Caenorhabditis elegans: one gene and its partner. The protein of the gene in region 2 purifies or fractionates together with the protein of the main gene of each other region. This does not show direct contact. Each region holds a gene or a part of one and is shown on either strand. Other genes may lie near its edges.

Region 1 (5,320 bases), on a different chromosome or scaffold from region 2:
AAATTAGACGATTTCACTTGATTTTTAATTATTAAATACAAAAAAACCAACCTGTGAGATCAGCACCGAGCAAATCGTTATTTTCCTTGGGATCTCTGAAAAATTGGAATAGATTTCAAAACTCTTATATAAATTCCTAATAAAATTTTAAAATCATAATTAACTTACACAGAAGTTGTCTCGTCAGCTTCTTCCTCTTCTGATTGTTTCGGTGAAGCAGCTTCTCGTTTAGGAGTCGGCTCTTTGGTTGTAATTGGTGAAGTCAACGCATCAGCAGATGATTGTGGAATATCCCTGGGTGATGGTTCGATATCTGATGAGAATTCGTCTTGCCAGTCTGGAAAATTAGTATTTTAAGATTTAAAAGAATGAGGGTTGCAATTTCCATTGAGAAAAGGTGCGGAGCGGGTTTTTTTTCACTTTTCAACAGGAAACATCGTACGGAATACAATTAAAAATGGTTTTTTAATGGGAAATTTAAAATTTCTTTCCAACTGAACTGGTTTATTTAAGCCAAAAAGGTCTAAAAATTGAGCAATAAACCAATGCAGTTGGAAAATAAGTGAATTTACAGAAAAAAATCCGTTGGAAATTTCCTGTTAAAAAAAGTTTTAAAAAAACGCGCGGCGGTTGCGAAAACCCGTGCCGCACCTTTGCAGCATGGAAATCGGAAGAAAACTGGCATACCAATAAAGGTTAGTTGAGGATTCGAGTTCATGTTAGTTAAAAATTATCGGAAATAAATAAATAAACTAAATTTTGCGATATATAGAATTTTTTGTATTTTTACATATTTGTGAAGGGTCGCGTAAAAAACTCACCTTCGTTTGTGATGTGATTTGCAAGATTAACATCCATCGTGGTTGATTGTGTCATATGAGCAGAAATAAGATCAGATACTCCACGAATTGATGATGCATCCACAGAAGCAGCCATGCCCATTCTGTAATTTAAATAATATCTTTTAAAAATTAAAATTTTGATTTTAGGGGACCGAACCAAGTTATTAAAGGTGGAAGAAGTGTTTGCCTAACAAAATTCTTTTTGGAAAATGATAAAATTGGGAATTTTGCTTTAAATTGTATATCGTAATGAGCGAATTTATACAATTTTTTTAAACAATAAATATAATTGAAGCATTTTCAAAGATCTATATCGTTTGCGGGAATTTAACAACAAATATCGCATTTTTTGCAAAATTGGAGAAAACATAAAAATTTAGAAAATTTTTTTAAACAGTAATTATGATCTCTTTTCTGACATTTAGAGCAGTGATAAAAAATTTGGAAAATCAAGAAAATAAAATAAATTCAAAAAAATTGGTGATTTTTATTTCTTCATGCGCTTCAAAATTTGGAGTGAAGTGGAGGATAACCAAATCGAAAAAAAATCAAAAATTTGAAAAATAAAAAAACCTTCCCGAAAAATAACAAAAATTCCAGACACAAAACTCACAATGACAAATTACTTTGATCACCACTCTTATGTAAGCGATGTGATATTGGAAACCAACTACAAACAACGACACAACAGTCAAATATTAATCACTTTTTTAAATTTAATTAAATTAAACTTACTTGTTTCGAAGTTGCATATTTGGCAATGGCATATTCTGCATTAATTCGAATTTTTCACTTCCCATTAGATATTTTGTACGTTCCATGTGATCTACATGGGTTCGTAATAGAGTATTATATCGTTCGTGGAGACGATCGAATTCGAGCTTTTGTTCCACTTCACGTTCTTCCAGACGACTGGCTGAAAAATAATACTTTTTTTAAAAATTTATCCAAGAAAAACACAAGAGTTAATAATTGAGGTGACAATTAACTAACTGTAACAAACTAACCGTGATCAGTGGCATTTTTGGCTTTCAACTCGAGCATCCTCATTATTGATTCAAGTGACTCTATCTTTTTGTCCAACTCTTTATTCTGACCAATCAACGTGTCTTCTATTTCAATATATTTCTGTTCTGTCTGCTTTCGAAGTGCTTTTTCACGTTCATATTGTGTCTGAAGCTGTTCATTGTCCTCTTTGAGCATTTCAAGTTCTGCAGTCTGCTCGTCACGTTCCAAATAGGCAAGATCCAATGCTTCGAGCACATTTACAACCAATGGCATCAGAGTCTGAAAATGTTTAGTTTATTGAATGATAATAGAGAAAGAGAGAAGAAAATTAGCATAAATTTACCTGCTGACTGGTTTAACATACTGAATTTAGTATTGAAGTAGAGTAAAAACATAGAATTTCAATTTCTGATCAAAAAATGGTCTAAAAAGTCCGAATTTCGTAAAAATATCATTTAAAAGTTCTTCAATTAATTATGACGATTCTATGTTTTGAAAAATATTTAACTATGAGCTAAAATCTACAATTTTGCATATTTTTCCGTGCCACAGCGGTCGGAAATTTATTTTCATTCGATTTTCGCTTATTTTGTCGTTTATCTCGTGTTACTTCGTTGAGTTTGGTACATTTGAAGCGATAGGCAACTAAAAATAAGCAAGATCGAAATGATGCTCAATAAAAATTCATTTCCGGCCGTTGCGACACGGAAAAGTTGGCAAAATTGAAGATTTCAGAAGAAAGAAAGCGTTTTTTTTTTCAAAACCATCAGTCTTATTATGAAATCCGGTTGTTTTGGGACATTTTTTGCGAAAACAGCCATTTAAATAAATTTTAAAGTAAAATTCCGAAAAAACTCACTTTCACGCCATCTTCTCCGTGAACTTTTATCATTGTTTCCAACTCTCGATAAATTGCCGAAGCCATTGTCTGCACTTTATCCGACATTGTTCGATGCTCATCTGGTGAGCCGGGGCCGCCGTACACAATCTGAGATAACATTTCTCCCATCAATATCGAATGCAGCATAAAAAAATCCTCCTATTACCCGTCCCAACTGTTTTGTTGTGTCTAGCGACAATCAATAATGAAGAGAGAAGTGCGGAAGAGAAACATAACGGTATTTACTGGCCGAGGAATAGTAGTAGGGGGCGACGATAAGAGAACCGAGATAACTATCGGGAGACGCTGCTGCTGCCACTCGGTTGCAACAATGGTTCATTTGCCACCACTTACCTCAGACGGTGTGCTGCTCGTAATTGAGTCTGCCATCTCATTCACCGGTGACAAATTGCAAGCCATTTTTTCAGTCGTTCTGTCGATTATTGGTCCATGTGAGAGCAAGTTGACGAGACAATTCTACAAATTATGTTGCTTTTGTGCTTTGCAATGAAAAAAGCTATGTAAATAAAGTGCCACTCCTTCGCCGCGGCGACAGAAAATCAATAAAAGAAGGCTGGGCGCATGTGTGAATCTCGTGGATGAGAGAATACGGTAATTGGCGGAAGAGGAGCGTTTTGTGCGTCACGCACTACACGCATGTCGAGTGGGTTTTGCCGTTTTGCGCTTCAGAATTTATTTTTCTATTGAATTCAGAATAAAAACACTTCATTAGAAGTTTTGCATGAATAGAATTTCAATTTGCGCCGCTATTACGAATTTTTATATAAACTCTATCAAAATTATGTGTTTCTTAGGCTATTTTTGCGTCAAAACCACGAATTTAGTGTGACAACATGTGTTAAAACAATGAAAAAACAAATACGAAAGAATCAGTTTATTACGAAATAAATCAACGTTCATCATTATCTTCCTCAGGATATTCCGGGTGGCTCAGGAACGCTAGAAGCACTTGCACCAGAGAAATCATCAGAACAATTCCCACTCCGACCTGAATTGTTGGATTAAAGAGAAAATCATGTCGATTAATATAATTTACATCCAGAAGCACAATGCAGTTTTTAATTGCTGTATGCTCGTGGGGAGCTTTGGCACTGAATGTGTACACGATGAAGAAGATGAGCGAAAGCAACGATGTGACTGGTGCTGGAGCATGATAGATGGCCAACTGAAATTTTTGTAGAATGTAAAATAACTTTCTAAAACTAGGAATTACTTTTCTTTGGCTCATTGCCAACATGCATTTAGATCGACTCAAAAACAACAGAGCGATGAATGTGATGACTGCGAGTACGAGGAAAACGCTACCTGCTGAGAGCTGAAAACGTAGAGTTAGGAACGTCTTTAAGATGAGAATTTACCATCCAAAATGACGCGAGTCCAGATACGTACCCCATTGGAATAGTTCCCTGGAGTAGAACAGTCACACTAATCATCTGAAAACCAAGAAGATTCCCAAATAATCTGCTGAAAACTAGAAACTCACAATATTTGCCACAATGAGTTTGTTCAAAAGCATATTTCTACTTTACAAAGATTTGTAACCGTATAACCCTTTTGCTAGATTTGAATTTAACGAAATGAGTAGGAAATCAAGTTAAAAGTGTTGTCTATTTTATAAATTAAAAGAACGTAGAAAAGGTCTTCACGAAGAAATTTAAAATTTATTCAAAAAAAAAAAATCAGACTTCTTTCTTGGCTTTTTTCTTCGGTTTCGACGAGGATGTTTCAGTTGATCCTCCACATTCTTCTTTGATCGTTTGCATTCCTTCGATACCGTTCAGTTTTTTCATGTCTTCTTTGCCTGAAAATGTGCAAATTTTTATTCTTCAGCATTACTATATTATCCAGATAATTTTGCGATTTTCGTCATGCTAATACGATACCCGGTCTCGATACGGCAAAGTTTTTGATAGATCCAAAGAGGTGTGCGCCTTTAAAGAGTACTGTAATTTCAGATTTTCGTTGTTATGGAATTTGCATCGATTTTTCATAGTTTCAGATAAATAAATAAATATTTAAATATCGAAAAACTAATAAAAGTCTAAAAATTCGAAGTACAGTACACTTTAAAGGCACACACCTTTCAGAATTTAACAATTGTAGCGTCGAGACCGGGAACCGTACTTTCTGGGTAAAAATTGCACAATTTCGCAACAAAAACTAACCTGCAGGTTTACAAACCGCACTTTTTGAATGAAGAACTGTCAGAATCACGAACACGATTGTAGTGATGATTCCGATACCTCCGAAGACAGCCGAAACTATCATTAGCATGCTAGATGGCAAAATAAAGTGCTTTTCACTCATCTTTTTGATGAATGAGCGTTTTTAAAAACTCGAAATGAATAGTTTTGGGTTCCACGTTATTTTTTATTTTTGTAAAAGAAAAAAACCAATCATAATTATAAAAAACAAAACAAGAACAAATTAATTTAATTTGATTGAATTAAATACACGTTCAAATAAATTTCTACCCTCAGATATACATTTTAATGAGTTCTTCTCCAACAGCTTCAGGCTTCATTGCGCCGACATCAGTAATGATCAGTGTCAGAAATTCGGGTGCGGT
Region 2 (8,272 bases):
TGCTAATTGTCGTCATTTTGAGGTGGTTTATAATAAATAAAAATTTGAATATCATCGCTACAGTAATAACGATTTTTTCTCGTTCTGTCTCACTTCCAGGAGAGCTGACATCGGAGAGATTGTATCAGTTCCGGAGCTGACAAGAAGCCGTTTCCAGAGCAGGAATGGAAATGAATGCCAAAGGTGATTCCTTCAAACCTCATTTGCCAGACTACAAGGTATTTTCATAAGCTGCACTCTAAGATGCTCTGAAGCTCTTCCAGAAAACGCGTACTGAACTCATCTCTGCCAAAATGGAAAATCAGAAGTTAACATTTCAAAAGGAAATGTAGTTCAGTTTTTATGTGAAATCAGTTCCGCAATAATTCAATTTTTAAAAATTCAATTTTCAATTTATCTGAAGCTTTATTTTAAATAAAATTTGAACAAGTTAAAACAATGACTAGAAATATATAAATTATAAAACTATGGCATGTGCTGATTTTGGAAGTGGAGTGGTGAGCCAGAAAAGTTCTGAAAAAAATTGGCATTTTTCAAAGTTTTCTAGATTTTAATTTATCATCACGTTCTCACCACGTTTTATTCACAACTTTTACTGCAAGTTGAGCGATTTCAAGTCTCGAGCAAGACGTAGACGCAAATGTTGGAAGTTCGGAAGGATTCTCTGGGTGCGGAAAGTTGTTTGAAAAATGCTCGACGATTTTGTTGACTAGCTCAGCGTCGGCGGGCTCCGCAGTTTTGCAACATCAGCTTGAAGAAAATGGTGTAGATTTCGAGCATTTGATCCAGATCTGAAAAACAAGAAATTGGAGGATTCGGGCGATTGAAAATAAAAAATCAGAAATTTGACTAAGACTATGTTTCCACTGACGATGGCATGCAATCTTCAAGCAGGTCCCTCTTCCCAATCAACGTTGTAATTTTCTCCAAGTTTTTGATGCAGTCAATTTTCAGCTGTTGCCTTGCAATTCTCTCCCCTATGCAAATCCACGATGACCAGGTTCTTTCCTGGGTAGGTAGAAGGTCTTTGTGCTTCTCCTGGGCTATGACAAAATCGTGCTGGTGCTGCCAAGATATGTAGTTCATGGCTTCTTGATACTTGTCCATGAAGTTTACGTGGATCTCAAATTAAGATCTCACATCCACCTCTATGTCTGGAGATTTTTTGCAGGATTGTCTCCATAACTGTCACCGATTTCTTTACAAACTGATCCACATTTTCAGGCATAACTTCTTGAACCAATTGCTCCAAATTGTCCTTGATCGCACTTGTTTCGACAAGAAATCCTTCGAACGCTGCCTTTTCGTCGCGATTCCGTTGTTCGTAATTTGCATTATATTGATGTTTCTTTCTCCATTTTTCTTCAGCAGAAATTGGGATTCTGTTGTTCTTACGACTGCATCTTCAATGCAAAAAGTTTTTGCGGTCGAAAATGGTGATATCAAAGTTTTGAGTGGATTCCTTCAAGTTCGAGTGGCTTCCTTCAAAGGGTAAATGTCTGGAAAGTTTTAAAGTTGGAAATTGTGATAAGTAGGTGCTGGTTACCATAATACTGTAGTTTGGAGCAGCAGGCATTGTGCTCTTGATAGCAAGTTATAATTACTGTAAGAAAAATAAGTGAGAAAACTTTCTAGATTGAAAATTTTCAAGATTTGATCAAAATAGAAGTAAGAAAAAATTTAAAAAACTAGCAAGAAAAACTATTCAGAAATGTTGTTGCAAATCCGCCCCACGGACAACCGGAAGGCGTACAGTTAGCGTCTTTTTTTGGCGGTGGCGGCAAAATAGAAGGTGTTATTGTGTTTATGTATTTCTCGTCTAGCACCCTCTTACTTTTACACACTCTCTCACTCTCTTTCTCTTGGTGCCACTTTATCATATCCGGCTCTTGTGGCAAACTTACTTTTGATTTTTTTTTTCTTTTAAAATCCAATTATACCGTAGTTTACCGTACTCTCGATTTTCAGAAACTTCGCACAGTATGGCTTCATCACCAAGTTCTTCCTCCAGCCAACTCCGTAAGTTATCTCATAACAATTATTTTGAAAAGCTCTAAATTTCCAATTTTCAGATTAGGTGAGCAAAGTATCGAAGGCAGATTAGCGATGCAAAAAGTGTACCACACTCGAAAGTCACTTACAAATCGATAAAATTTAAGCAAAAATATATCAAAATTTTAGAGAAATTGCACCACGAACGTCGTCGGAAAGCGGAAAGTGAGGAGCAGCAGAAACAGAACAGAAACAAGAACAGAAAATTAAAAAAAAAACGGATTATCAGTAAGTTGTCCTAAATGAAATTTTAATTTAAACTTCAAATTTCAGAAATATCCCGGAGCCCAGTTGCAAGCCCAGTTGACAAGCTTGCAGCCTCCTCAAAAATTGAACCAGATTCTAGGAGCTTCCCCGATGATCGAAGGATTTTGTGGACAAGAATCGGTAGGTTATTGCTTTCTTAGAAAACTTTAAATGGTCCTTATTTTGCAAAATGATATGCGTTAAACTACCAATGCTTCGCAAAATAGAACAGCCATTAAAACAATTTACATTTTTTTGAGAACTTTTATTACGATATTCGTCCATTTGGACAGATTTTTAGTTTGTTCGTTTAAAAAACCCAGTATTTCTTTTTAAATCATACCTAGAATTTCTTCAAAAAGTGAACTGGAAGCAACCGAGAAACAAATATTATGCAGAGAAGAGCACCAGTGATGATATCAGACTCGTTTCAATTTTAAAAGAATGAGAATTTCTGAGAGAACACGAAAGTGATAATTTGCTTAAAAGTCTTCAATAATTAGTTGACACAAGGCGTGTTTGGGATCGACTTCAATTCATCTTCGGTTTTTGAAAGTCGAATCACGTCGACGAACCAATCCGCAACTTGATTGCATTTTCCATTGATCTGAAATTACAGTCAGTTTTTGTACTGAAAAATTTGCAAAAAAAAACACTTACAGCTTTGAACTTGTAAGCACTTCCACTGGCAGGGTCGTAATCAAGGTAGAAATCATGCTTCTGTAGAAAAACCTTTGTTTTAAAAATTTCTCCAACCTATTATTTTACCATTAATTGCCTATATTCAGGTCTTTCTCGAACATCCTTTCGCAAGCATAGGTCCAAGAATTCAATGAATAGAGGTGAAAAACTTCGCTTTGTCTGAAACATAGCGTATTGAAAACGTAACGGAAATTCCGAAACCTCTTCTCTCAGACTTGGTGATGGCAAATTCAGGTTTGCAATAATGGTGAGAGTTGTGAATTCCATGTCATTTAGTGGAAATGGGTAGAGTCCAGTGACAAGTTGGTAAACAGTGATTCCCAATGACCAGACATCGCTTCGAACGTCGTATTTGGAATTCGTCTGCAATTTTTTCAAACTTCATTATTTACTTTTAGACCTATTAACAGGAGTGCCCCGCGGCTCACTGTTGCGATCGGGACGTGACCCACATTTCGGGTCAAGATTATGTTTCAAAAAAAAAAGTTCAAAATTTTTTTTTTGACATGTCAAGCATGATCAAGCCGAAACTAGTAGCAGGGAACCGGGGCAAGTTGCGGGAAAAATCGGGCGCGTGGAGGGCGTCACCGCCACCGGCACATTTTTGTTCACAGATCAACATTCAATTTCATACCTCGATAGTTAATCTTTCAGGAGCCATATATGGCGGACATCCTGCACTTTTGGAATGAGCCATCGAATCAGTCATAAATCCACTTATCCCAAAATCACACAGCTTTACATTGCCGCTGTCATCAAAAAGGATATTCGAGGGTTTTATATCGCGATGTATAATCGACTGAAAATCCGGAATTAGTTGTTTAGTTTGTGCACAGCAGTTTCTCTTTAATCTCTTACATGTTTTTCCTTGAGATAATCCAGTGCACTAATCGCCGAGTAGACGATGTGACCGGCCACAAACTCGGGGAAAAAATCCAATTTTGAATGATAAATGCGACGCAGCAGCTTCTCACAACACGCTGACATGATTTGCATACAAATTTTTACAGACGACTGGAAATGGAGGAATTGGATATGTTAATAAGAATGTCACACTTACATCAAACATGAAATATCCGTAACTGGTGACAATGAACGGAGAATTGCACATTGACATAATTCGGACGTCACGAAGAATTCGTTTCAAATTTTCCTTATTGTCATTTTTGTACATAGTCTGAAGAAGACAAAGCTGAGGGAACCGTTATGATTCTGTGTCAACGTATTCTCTAGAGTCGCATTTATCAAACTACTGTTCTCACATTGAAAGAGGTTCAGAATTTTTACTGAAATTTGTTTTCCACCAATTTTAGAGGTCTCTCCTCCTCTCTAACGCATTTGCTTTGCATTGACAATTGAATCAAGAAAAACGAAAACAATGGAATTTCTAATGGTCTTTAGCACCACTACAATTTTTCGCCCCCGCATGATAACCCGTGAAGGACCCCTTCTCTTTTGAATTGCGTATGCAACGATTCTGTCAATCTTTTTTCAAGAGTTCATACTGGAGCCATGCAAGATTTATTCTATTCAAAGTGGTCCGGATGTGTATCTCAACCATACATCACTGCCTCCGTGTGAGGGGTAATGCTCACCTTCACAGCCATCAATTTTGAGCGAACCGTCGCAGATTCGACTACACCACAAGAGCCGCTTCCGAGCAGGCTGATGATGTGAATCTCGTTTGGGTCGACAACTTGCTTTTCTCCTGATAGGAAAAAGATTTTAAAAATTAAAGCTTTGATGTATGTCTTACCATCAATTTCTAATGTTCCCGATTTCTTGTACCCTTCTAGAAACTCGTATTCCAACGCATCTTTCTCAGTATCTCTTCTGGATGGCGATGGTTTCATGGAAAGCGGAGTAACTGAAATTGTATGTATGTAATAACTAAAGGTCGTTCTCCAGGCACACATTTTCTTTCCATGGGGCTTGTTAAATACCCAATGTTATTCGGCCGTTGGTGTTGAGGACTTGAAGATGTGGAAGAGCATTCTGTAAAACAAAATTTGAGGGAATTAAGAATGACAACACATACGTGTTTTTTGGAATTGAGCCGATGATCTCATCACAAAGAATAATTAGATGGAATTTTAAGAATAATGATGCCATTTGAAGGCTAGACACCAATATTTCAAGACAAACCTTTATGTTTTTGATCTACCGAAGTTGATCGGCGATCTCTCGGCCGTAGCCGAACCTCAGTCAATCCCAACTTCAAGAATTTCCATTTTCTCACCCTCGTCTCCAGATCTAAAATCAATTATTACAGACTCAACACGGAGGAAATGAGATTGTGTGTTTGGCGCTGATTGACACTTTGGTTATTTTTAGTAGTTTTTGTGGTACCTATTGCCCGAGAAGCCAAGTACTTTTCTTATCAAGAGGTATAAGTTCGTTGGCTACCTTGTTTCACTAAAATTTAGGTTACAGGTTGAAAATTAATTGCATCAGCATCATCTGGGTATCAGTCAATGAGCGGTTACCGAATTTGCCAATCGCTGAAATTTTCAGCAACCGGCAACCGTCGGCTGCCGAGGCCTTGGCGTTGTTCAAACATATATTTCTGTTAAACTCATATTTCAGAGTGTTTTTCGAGGAAAAAATATAATTGTTTTATTTACAGTGACGATATTCGCAATATTTAGGGTCTTTGAATGCGTATTTACAAAACAATTGAAATTAATATCGAAAGTTGCCGAAGTTGGCGAACGATAAAACTTTCGGCAGCCGACAACCGATGATTTCCGAACCTAAGGCTACTTTCTGGCAATCAGCAACTTGGTTGACCTGTTTTGCAGTTCATTAAATTTTCATCAAAGATTCTAAACGGAATATACATAATCTACGAATATTTTGCTACGTACTCAGCCGACAATAAACAAATATATGAAAAATTATATGTTTACCTCGTAATCTTTGCTGAAAACAGACATTCTCCATTTAAAACCAAGGTAGAGTTGACAACAAAATAAAAGAATGAAAGAATGACCCGTTGGCCGTCGTCGCTCGTTCCGAAATTTTAATAAGAAGACGTATGTGAGGTTCCTCGCGGCAGCGACAGCAGCAGCAGCACCACTAGCCCAATGTAGTAGACGAAATGGCAAGACACACACAGCTATCGATTCTGAATGCACAATGCTAGTCGAAGAAGCGCAGGGGCTCCCGGTCTGGCCCCTCTTCGCTCTCATCACCCACATCGTGGAGGAGGAGCCGTGAAGAAGGAGAAGGGGGAAGGCTATAAATGCACACACATACTAGTGAAAATATGCGGGAAGAACTGCTCCTTTCTTCGGCTCTTTCTCTCTTCTCGCGCATGTCTCATTTCCAATTGGTCCCCCCATCATCCTCTATTTCGACGCGTTTGGGATGCGTGAATCTTTGCAGCTTCAATGGGTGGTCCTATAAGAGAGAAAGGCTAAACGCTAATGGGCGATTTGAATGGGGGCAAGTTTGGAGGAGGTCTTTTTGTTGCTCATCTTCTTTGTGCCGGCAAATAGAAGTTACACGATGACACACAGACATGCGCCTCTGCACAAATCTCATCAGCGAGAAAATTGGGTGAAGCATGTTCTGTTGAAGACGATTCGAGGTTCCAAATAGAAACGATTCACCTGGTTAAAAATAATACTCCGAACAAATGTTTGAGTCACAGTTGCTTGTTTTAAAACTTGTAGACATTTTTGGCCACGTTTCAGAATTACGATTGTTTGACTATGAAAACAAAATTCAATTAAAAAAAATAGATTTACCACAATTTGGACAGGTTAACCCTTTTGGTGGGGGATATTTCAGATTTAAAATTATTTACATTTCAAGCAACCTTTTGAACTTTTGGTCAAGTCTCGTGTTCTTAGTTCCTTTTGCAAGATCTCACGTTTCAATACCACATTTCTTCTGATTCAGTTACTTTCACATTTTCCGGTCTGTCTGGGAGCAAACACAAAGTTCCGAAAAAGTCTTGCTCACTCATGCACATTTCAACAGCAAAAAAAGTTCGTTTATTGCGTTACGGGGTAATACATGTACGTGGCTTAGTTAATTTTGATTAATCCTTTCTCGTCTTCAGCTGAATAGAGCCCGAACTTTTTGAATTTTGCCTCGGTCATCTTTTTCAAATCGGCGTAGGTAATATGGTAACCCATGAGTCTGTCGAGATAGTTGAACCACGGTTGGAAACATGTCAGTGGTCTCAGATGGTGCATGTCATGAGCCGGAGCACCCGAGTAGAACCAGAAAATGCGATGAAGAGCAAATGGGAAGTCGTATCCAATGTGAACCTGAATTCAACTTTGTCAACTTTAAAGGTCAAATTTTAATACCTCATAAGAGACGCTCTGGGCGATAAAGAACCAAATCCAGTAGGTCAAGCAGTGAGTTGGGAAGATCCATGGGATAGTGGTGATGAATGTTCCAACAAAGAACAGCTGAAAAAACTTACTATTTTAGTTATAAATCTCAATTTTCAAAAACCTCAAATGGGTGAAGATGTTGTGCAGATGCTGCGAATGGGGATGAGTACATATGATGAACAGAGTGACACCAGCGGTAGAGCCATTTTACCTGCAAAATGTTGAGTGATATTACCATGATTTGTGTATAGGACAATTATGACTATCAGTGATTCATTCCACTGATAATATAATTTTTGAATCGCTGAAAAATATGTAATAGCTTTATGAAATTCAAACTGAAACGTGCTTAACGTTGGTAAAAAATTATTTCGAATCTTAATTTCAAGTGAGAGAAAAGCTGCTAATGAAGAAATCAACATTGATGTAAATTATGACGTCATAGCATAAACTAAAATGCATTATGTGACGTCAAAATATACATTTTAATAAACCTCTTTGCATACATGGATAACCAAATAATAGGAATCGTAAAAATAAACACTGAAACGTTTGCAACAATCAAAAAGTTCCTATCAGGACGTTTCGACAAAATGACAGGTTCCGCAATATGAATTAGTACTCGGAATGTGCAACGTTTTGGAAACTTTTGCCTAAACGAATGTAAACCTGGTGGAAAATTGGCGAGCTTTGCACAACAAAAAATTATTTGTAGCTGGTGAGTTCCCGATTATATACATTCAGAGAAGGTTTTGAATTATATTGTGAAACATGGTCTAATTAGTTTCAATGTAACTCGATTTACAAGTTATTAAAAACCGTGTTTTATGACTACTCCAATCATACTTCACACATGCAACCGTTGTTTGTTATCAATTACCTTGTGATTGATATAATGGAACCAGAAATATGTGAAATCA

What was found. The genes of interacting proteins can lie anywhere in the genome.
Region 1: the proteins of jkk-1 (region 2) and unc-16 purify together in Caenorhabditis elegans (affinity purification with western blotting, with the first as the bait; one study listed by BioGRID). This does not show direct contact.

What each region holds. Positions count from the first base shown.
Region 1 is NC_003281.10:9,544,189-9,549,508, reverse strand, and holds the start of unc-16 (JNK-interacting protein), read right to left. Parts: upstream 3,215-5,320; 5' UTR 3,151-3,214; coding exon 3,085-3,150; intron 2,839-3,084; coding exon 2,710-2,838; intron 2,130-2,709; coding exon 1,850-2,129; intron 1,759-1,849; coding exon 1,578-1,758; intron 1,513-1,577; coding exon of another isoform or gene 1,456-1,512; intron 944-1,455; coding exon 822-943; intron 719-821; coding exon of another isoform or gene 688-718; intron 338-687; coding exon 169-337; intron 96-168; coding exon 52-95; intron 1-51. Other genes in the region: ZK1098.12 (DUF2975 domain-containing protein), read right to left, coding at 3,641-3,739, 3,788-3,916, 3,965-4,066, 4,110-4,184, 4,235-4,267; ZK1098.9 (uncharacterized protein), read right to left, coding at 4,431-4,552, 4,917-5,058; eif-2Balpha (Translation initiation factor eIF2B subunit alpha), read right to left, coding at 5,228-5,320. UniProt on the Caenorhabditis elegans protein: The JNK-interacting protein (JIP) group of scaffold proteins selectively mediates JNK signaling by aggregating specific components of the MAPK cascade to form a functional JNK signaling module.
Region 2 is NC_003284.9:5,366,336-5,374,607, reverse strand, and holds jkk-1 (Dual specificity mitogen-activated protein kinase kinase jkk-1), read right to left. Parts: upstream 6,141-8,272; 5' UTR 5,944-6,140; coding exon 5,910-5,943; intron 5,293-5,909; coding exon of another isoform or gene 5,273-5,292; intron 5,254-5,272; coding exon 5,146-5,253; intron 4,996-5,145; coding exon 4,915-4,995; intron 4,868-4,914; coding exon 4,757-4,867; intron 4,709-4,756; coding exon 4,596-4,708; intron 4,178-4,595; coding exon 4,061-4,177; intron 4,015-4,060; coding exon 3,859-4,014; intron 3,800-3,858; coding exon 3,635-3,799; intron 3,364-3,634; coding exon 3,202-3,363; intron 3,160-3,201; coding exon 3,067-3,159; intron 3,019-3,066; coding exon 2,959-3,018; intron 2,906-2,958; coding exon 2,798-2,905; 3' UTR 2,440-2,797; coding exon of another isoform or gene 2,326-2,439; 3' UTR 2,281-2,325; coding exon of another isoform or gene 2,182-2,280; 3' UTR 2,020-2,181; coding exon of another isoform or gene 1,983-2,019; 3' UTR 1,577-1,982; coding exon of another isoform or gene 1,547-1,576; intron 1,500-1,546; coding exon of another isoform or gene 872-1,499; 3' UTR 792-871; coding exon of another isoform or gene 574-791; intron 514-573; and 1 more. Other genes in the region: F35C8.8 (uncharacterized protein), read left to right, coding at 1,983-2,019, 2,182-2,280, 2,326-2,439, 5,273-5,292; F35C8.5 (Cholesterol 25-hydroxylase-like protein), read right to left, coding at 7,035-7,280, 7,323-7,427, 7,474-7,563, 8,233-8,272. UniProt on the Caenorhabditis elegans protein: Dual specificity protein kinase which acts as an essential component of the JNK signal transduction pathway. May phosphorylate jnk-1.